Oryctolagus cuniculus: one gene and its partner. The protein of the gene in region 2 purifies or fractionates together with the protein of the main gene of each other region. This does not show direct contact. Links are inferred from orthologs where the notes say so. Each region holds a gene or a part of one and is shown on either strand. Other genes may lie near its edges.

Region 1 (3,515 bases), on a different chromosome or scaffold from region 2:
TGTGGCGTGTCTCTCACGTACGGACGGCCTGTGTGTACTGTGTGTAGTGCATCTCCAGTAATTGGCTTGACCCTCAGCCCAGCCCTCTGTGTGGGCAGTGGGGTCCTTGCCGGTGTCACAGACATGGAGTCTGAGGACAGAGACGCGGGTGCAGGGCTACACTCGCACGGGTCTGACGCTCAGCCCTGGTGCCAAGCTTCCGGCACAGGCTGTGCCTCTGCCGAGTTCCTGCTGTTCGTGGGCACAGAGTCACATGCTAAATGTCTACCTGGCAATTTTTTCTTAGTTTATTTTTCATTTATTTGAAAGGCAGAGAAACAGAAATCTTCCATCCTCTGGCTCACTCTCCAAACGCCTGCAATCACTGGGGTGGGCTAGGTTGAAACCAGGAGCCAGGACGTCCATCTGCGTCCCCCACAAGCTGTCTCGAAGGTACACATCAGCAGGGGCCTGGATAAAAACCCAGGCTGGGACTTGACCCCGGCACTCCCGACAGGGGACGTGGCTGTCCCAGCTACAGACAACACCCACCGCAGCCATCTTTCCAATGCACAGACAGCCACAGCAGTGACGCTCACAGCCTCTCAGGAGTAACTAAACCTGTCCCGTGTTTGGGCTCACAGTAGTTAAGGAGGTGAAGGTGTCGATGAGGTTGAGGGTCACCAAGCACCCAACCCTCTGTGACAGCTGCCGGCAGCTGAGCCGGGTCCCCGCCAGAGCGCGTGGCCAGCACGCCGACACACACCTGAGGTCCAGGACCTGGCTGGCGACGACCCCGGGCTGGGCAGACTTCCCCTCAGGCAGGTCGTACAGGAAGAGCTTGCAGTCGCACACCACCGCGTACGCCCGCTGCCAGCCCTTCTTCACCCCGCTGGGCTTTGGGACCTGCAGACGCACAGTGACCACGCTTCGCTGGGCCAGGGCAGCGGCAGCGGAGGCCGCAGGGCCAGCTCACCACCTGCCTCTGGCGCTGTGCACGTCCCAGCGGCCAGGGCTGTATCTGGGGAAGGCTCCGCATGTGCGGGTCCACCAGCAGCTGGGCCACAGTGGACAGGAGCCTTGCAGTCCTCCCACCCAACCTGACCCTGGACACCTGGCCAGCCGGGGGGATGGGCCCCCAGTGGGTTCCGGTCCTCAGGACCCCCTGCCTCCCAGGAGCACCCCAGGTCACCTCGCATAGGCACCTCAGTGGGTTCCGGTCCTCAGGACCTCCTGCCCCCAGGAGCACCCCAGGTCACCTCACTCAGGCACCGGCTTCAAGAGCAGTGTGGTGGCCCTCAGCCACTAGCCCGGGACGCTGAGGACTGAGTGGAAGGGGCCACAGACTGGGAGGCTGCAGCCCTCTTACCTTGACGTAGCCCTTGTAGGCTGTTCCTATGCCCCTCTGTACGTCCACGCCAAGAGGCCTCTTGGACTGCTCGGGAGGGATGGGGCACACCTGGGGGGCGCTGTCTCTGCAGGAGACGTGGCACGCAAAGGAACACACTGGGAAGGACAGGAAGGCATGTGACCCTCGGGACGTACCCAGGGCAGCGTCACCACAACCCCAGAAGCCCAGCGATCTAGTGCTGCATGGACGTCCACCTGGCTTATAGGAAGGCGGGGCTTGGCTCGTGGTTACGCCATCCCACACAGGCAGGTCCCCAGTCCCCCAGGGCTGCCGTGCATATAGACCGGGGTCCTGGCAAGCAACCAGTGCTTACAAGTTAAAAGGAAAATGCTCCTGCTACCACACGGAGAACCAAGAAAACCACCAAGGCGGCGTCCACACAGCCCAGGGGCGGCCCCCCGTGTACAGCCTCACCCACAGGGCTGCCAGGCCCACCTGGCCAGTGCACACCCCGTCTCTTCCCTGCTGCTCCAGGCCGGCGGGGAGGCGAGGCCGGACACTCACCCTCGCAGGCGTAGCCCTGGCGAATGAGGCCGACCATCAGGGAGGTGCAGTGGCTGCACTGTGTGGGGCTGGAGAAGGACTTGATGCTGAACTGGTGGGCCTTGGGCTGGAGGAAGAGGGCCAAGAACAGAGGTGAGCACGGCTGAGCAGCACACGGTCCCCTGAGGCCTCGCCACGTGAGCCTGGAACCTCCTAGGGCGTGTAGGCCAGAACACATCCACCTTTGCTCACCTCAGAGACACAGGTGGGCTGAGCCGCGGCCCTGGGAGGCGGGGCTGACCCTGGCATAAGCTCCCCAAGACAGACTATGCTGGGGCCAGACTGTCTCTCCAAGCAGCCCTGCACGGGAGTGCTCCCAACAGGAAAAGCTTGGCAGGCCCCAGCGCCGCAATCCACGGACCAGAGACCAACACAGGGCAGGGCTGAGTCCCACAATGCGCTCAGCATGGCACAGGTGTGGCGAGATCGTCGGGAAGAAGCGAGGAGTGGGTGACCAAGCACCCAGGGAGGGGCGCGGGCAGTGGCTGGGCCGGTCACAGCTGTGCTGGGCGACACCCCAGCAGAGCCACTTCTGGGTATCGAATACGTTCACAAAAGGTAGGACGACCCTCTTAACGCGGTCCCTGACTCTTGAAGGCTCTTAAGGCCAAAAGCCAAAGGTCAGCTCATCTTAAATGAACCCCACTTCTTCCTCAGCGGGAACCGGGCAGACGTCAGGGCCACGCCGACGGCGGCATCAGAGAGTCCTGCCACGTGGGCTCAGAGTCAGTCAGGGGGGCTGGGCACCACTGCGAACTGAGTGCTCTGTGCTGTCTACACCAAACACAAAGGAGGCCATGGAACGCCAGGCCACGACACAAATCAGGGAGGCCTGCCTGTGCCGACGGCAGGGCCAAAACGACAAGGCTCAGAACCATGGAGCGACACCCTCAGCACGAGCACAGGCTGTGTGGACGGCTGTGTGGAGCACAGGTGTGGTGACGCCACCGCAGGCTCCTAGGCCGCCACCAACCCAGACCAGCTCGGCACAGGGCACGAGATCCTACTGTGTCCAGAACGCTGTCTTCTTCACACCAGTTATTTTCCGATCTTTCTGAATGACGCACGAGGCCCTACCTTTGGTCCAGCCAGGGCAAGGGCCGGCGTGGTGGGCAGCGGCACAGCGGGCATCCTCTGTGGCGGTCGCGCCAGGTCCTAGGAGACAGGCAGGAGAGGTGAGCATGCGCACCTTGGCGTAGGACTCCCCTCTCTACAACGGGCTGCTAGCAACATCTGTGCCGAAGGGCGAGGCTCCCGCTGCAGGCTGGGGGACAGGGTCTTTGCTCCCCAAGGCAGCACCGCCTTACCTCCTGCTGCTCGGTGCTGGCGGCCACAGAGGGCGAGGCCTCCGGCTTTGCAGCCTGCGCTTCCTGCTCACTGGCTGAGCTGCTCTGCAAAACGAAGGCGCACAGGGTCCCGTGCAGCCCACACCTGCTCCACTCCCCGGGAGCCTGAGTCCCAGGCCCGCACCCTACCCCCAGCTCTCCCGCCCTGGGCACGCCCATGCAGGGGAGCCAGGACTGGGCCACGTGACCTGATTCTTCCGTGATTTTACCTCAGCCTGGCAGTGTGAGGACGAAGG
Region 2 (4,208 bases):
ATTTCACACTCTCTCTTTGGAAGCAGAGTAGAGGAAAAACAGCTGAGCAGAGCTACAGCCTCAGAAGCTACTCAAACCCCATTCTCTTCCCAGGAGGATTCGGATTCCCTCCTCCTGTCCTTGATAATACATAGACTGCCTATGCTGGGGTCCTGCTGGGGGCAGCCTCCGGCCCCAGGCAAAACGGAACCTGCAGGAAAAGACCCAGCCCCAGCAGGCAGGTTCCACAGGCACAAAAAGTGAGGCGAGGAGAGACAGGGCCTGCTCAAGATCACACAGTGATTCAGAAGCACAGCCAAGACTTGAACCCATGCCTTCCCGCTTCCTGCCTATAGCTGCTTCACACCGGCTCCGCTGTTGGCTCTGCTGTTGCCCTAGCAACAGTTCTTTGGGTGGGAGAACTAAGGAGGGGAGGTTGCATTGTTTCCCATTCCCACGAAACCCAGGGTCTCATTCCAGAGTCTGACTCATTCACTCATTCTACAGCAGAAGAAGGGTAAGAAGAGCCCTAGAGGCAGGACCGACCTTGGCCACAAGGGCAGGACTGCCCCTCCCTGCATGGGAGCCCCAGGGAAGAAGGACAACTGCAGGGCAATTCTTAGAGGGCTTGCACCAGTCTTGCCTCCAGTGGCCCCAGGGAAACCCCTGCCCCACCCCTTGCTCCTCTAGGTCGGAGACTGAGGACTCCAAGCCTGAGGAGGGTGGAGGGAATGCTAGGGCCCCTCTCCTTGTCCTGGCTCAGGAAGGCTCCCTAAGTTGTACCCTTTACATCCAGCCTCATGCCCCAGGCCAGCTGGGTCAAAAATACAGAGAGAGACAATCAGAAGTGAAATGTACCCCTACAGCTTATAAACAGGTGGTCTCCACCGAAGCAGAAGAGAGAGGCAGAAAGACAAGGCGTGGCGCCTCCAGGCTCCTTGTGAGTTCAGGAAGCTCCTGAACCAGCACCTGCAAGTGTATCCGAGGTGGGGGAAATGATGACCACTTTTCTCATTCCAGTGATACAAAACGTATTGTAAAGTGTCCAGCACAGAACAGGTCTCAGTTGTAAAGATGCAAAGTGGTGGTCAGCAGACCTGGGTTCAAATCCTGGCTCTGCTTTTCACTTTTTTCATGACCTTGGGCAGTGAGTTAACCTCTCTGTGCCTGGTGTTACCTGTGTTAGGCAGGTATTCCTTACCTAACAGGGTTGCAAGAGAATATCACATAAAGGGCTGGGCACGATGCCGGCACATACACAGTCAAAGTTCCTTGCAAAGCAGGGCAGTCCAGGTTGTCTCTTTCTAGGCCTTGGGCTAAAGTTTGCACAGTGAGGTCCCCCCCCCCCCCCCAGCATAGCTGGATACAGTCACAGCCCTGCTCTGGGTTTGGCACTTGCCTCCAACCTTCAAGGCCAGGTGCACACTTGGCATCCAAGAACTACCCCCAGGGAGCCTCCCTTGACTGCTCCGCCCATCAAGCTCTCCTCAGAGTCTCTAATTTGGGGCCTGAGCGGGAGCCTCTCTGACCTCCTCCCTTTGCTTCCTCCCAGAACTGGGCACAAAGTGGGGCTCCAGGAAGACTTGGCTGACACACTCACAGTCAGCTCCTGGTCTGGGGCCAGGGAGCAGCGGGCAATTCCTCAGCTCTCCAGAACTGGCTGCAAAGCCGTGGCAGGTGTAAATCACCCCTTCACCGGAACCAGGGCTCTGGGGAGCCACCTAGGGCCCTGGGGAGTCTGTGGGGGGCCCCAGCTGCCCTTTTGGCTCAGAATCTAGACCAGCAGCAACTGGGATAGGGGAGGGCTGCTGCCCTGTGGCCTCTCTTTGCCAAGAAGGTGCGGGGGAGGAGGCTGAGTCGCAGGTGAGGGGACCGAAGCGCCGGCTGCTGTCTCTGCTGAGTCTTGGAACTTTCAAATGCCCACACCAAGTGGGGCTAGGGAACGCGGAGGCGGGGTCTCCAGCGCTCCAGTCCGCTTTCAGCGGCTCTGCCCTTCAGATCTCTTGTGTGCCGAATCCTAGCGAGAACACCCCCCTCCTCACAGGAACCAAGCCCATTCCCAGTTTGCAGGAAGAGAAAGACTGGCTGCCTTGGGATGGGGGCTGGGGGAACGAGTGGCCCCGTACCGGGAGGACGCTGAAGCGTGCTGCGATAGGTTCTCTGAACTTCCCAGCCCCCCCCCCCCCCAATTACTCGGCAGGAAAAACTTCCCAGAGCCTGCGTCTCCCAGCCCTAGTCCTCAGGACGCATCCACAGCGCACTCACCCTCGGGGGACAATTAAAAGGACGTCACCCCACCTCCAGACCGGGCTTTACGACAGATCTGGGAGGGACCCCAAGGAGTTAGGTGGGGACTCTCCAGACCACCTCCGGGGGCGTGAGTCCGTCCCTTCCAGCCCTACGCGGGGGGACTCATCCCGCACACTCACCAGCTCCATCCTCAGCGCCATGATCCTGTCCCCCAGGCCGTGGCCCGTTCCGGGCGACCCCGGGAGCAGCAGGGCGCCAGAGGGTTCCGGCTCCCACTCGCCTCGCAGCCCACGGAGCAGCCCTTCAGGGGTCTTCCTGCCCACCTTGCCCTCCACGTCTCGCAGGTCAGGAGTCTGGGACTCCACCGGCCCCTCCATGCGGGCCCCAAGCGCGAGCGGGGATGGGCGGCCGGACGCTGGGGTCCTGCTCCCGGGGGTCTTTCTGTCGCCCCTGCTAACGCGGAGCGGAACCGGTGGGTCCCCGCCCGGCACTGCGCGGGGGCGGGAGGAGGGCGCCGTAACTCTCAGAAAAGCCGCGCAGAGCCGTGTGAGGCTGTGTCTCCGAGTGCTGCGCACACAACCCCTGGCCCTGCGTGCCGTGAGGCTGGGCGATCCTACGTGCACCCGGAGAGCTCAGCGCCTTCTCCCTACCCCGGCGCTGACTCCAGCTAGGCACGCAACGAGCACCCAAAATAAACGTTTGCTGAATGAAAGCGAAGCCTTAGAGATGTGCGAATTTCAGGAACAGAAGTCTCAGAGAGCTGCACAGAAGGTTTGGAAGGTTTCCTGGAGTAGGCCAGCTGGAACTAAAACGGGCGGGCGGCTAAAATCAAGCTAGCCACCTGCACACACTCCCCGGGAGCTGGAATTCAGACGAAAGGAGTGGATGGCCAGTGAGGAGCAACCAGTACTGAAGCCCCAGGGGCCTGTGCATCACTTGCCAATCTTAAAATGCAGGTTCTGATCCTGTAAATCTGCAGGTGGGGCTGAGATTCTGCTTTTCCAACAGGCTCCCAGGGAATGGTCATGCTGCTTGTGGGTCTGGGGACCACACTTTGAGCAACAGGGCTATAGAAGATGTTTCCAGAGCCAAGGAGGAGCCATGAAAAATTTGGTTTGGTTTTGGCTTTTAACCCAAGCAACTCCAGTCCATGGTTACAGAAGGCTGTACCATGAAGACAGGTGCCCTGGCCCTTCCCTTTCACACCTCCAGGCCCCACTCCCTAGAGGCAACCACTTTTAGTTTTTTTTCCTGGTGTGTACACTCTGAACAACAAATAGGCTAACAGCACCACTTCCTAATTTTAAAAAAAGATTTATTTATTTATTTGAAATACAAAGTTACACACAGAGAGAAATCTTCCATCTGCTGGTTCACTCCCCAGTTGGCCACAACAGCTGGGGCTGGGGACGATCCGTAGCTAAGAGCCAAGAGCTTCTTCTGGGTCTTCCACATAGATGCAGGGGTCCAAAGACTTGGGCTATCTTCTACTGCTTTCTCCCAGGCCATAGCAGAGAGCTGGATTGGAAGTGGAGCAGCTGGGACTTGAATCGGCGCCCATATGGGATGCCGGCACTGCAGACCATGGCTTTACCTGCTATGCCGCAGCACATGGCCCCACCACTTCCTACTTTTAAACATTGTCTATTGGCTTCCTAATGAGATAACTACAGATACCTTTCTCCATGACTACATATTTCCATCATTATTTCTAGTTCATATGATTGTATCCTTTGTAATTTAAGTTTTTCTTAAAGTTTTTTTTTTTTTTTCTGAGAAAGGGGTTTTCTTTTCTCTCTCTTTTTTAAGCATCTATCTATTTGAAAGAGCAATAGAGAGAGGAGGAGAGGCAGAGATCTTCCATCCACTCCATTATGGAATGCACACTGCATCAGAACACCGGTCCCAATGGGAAGGTTTTAAATCAGAGACTGGCAAAACATTTGCCTTTCTGAAAATTTACTTTGCATTTAGCAGGG

Evidence for each region. Proteins that work in one complex are often made in the same cells at the same time.
Region 1: the proteins of LURAP1 (region 2) and CDC42BPB purify together in Homo sapiens (co-immunoprecipitation; 3 studies listed by BioGRID and IntAct, with this or other methods). This does not show direct contact. The link is inferred for Oryctolagus cuniculus from reciprocal best matches to the Homo sapiens genes LURAP1 and CDC42BPB.

Annotation. Positions count from the first base shown.
Region 1 is NC_091451.1:46,025,102-46,028,616, forward strand, and holds part of CDC42BPB (serine/threonine-protein kinase MRCK beta), read right to left. Parts: intron 3,325-3,515; coding exon 3,241-3,324; intron 3,089-3,240; coding exon 3,011-3,088; intron 2,001-3,010; coding exon 1,895-2,000; intron 1,486-1,894; coding exon 1,349-1,485; intron 886-1,348; coding exon 746-885; intron 1-745. UniProt on the Homo sapiens protein: Serine/threonine-protein kinase which is an important downstream effector of CDC42 and plays a role in the regulation of cytoskeleton reorganization and cell migration. Regulates actin cytoskeletal reorganization via phosphorylation of PPP1R12C and MYL9/MLC2.
Region 2 is NC_091438.1:126,552,000-126,556,207, forward strand, and holds the start of LURAP1 (leucine rich adaptor protein 1), read right to left. Parts: upstream 2,801-4,208; 5' UTR 2,607-2,800; coding exon 2,409-2,606; intron 1-2,408. UniProt on the Homo sapiens protein: Acts as an activator of the canonical NF-kappa-B pathway and drive the production of pro-inflammatory cytokines. Promotes the antigen (Ag)-presenting and priming function of dendritic cells via the canonical NF-kappa-B pathway.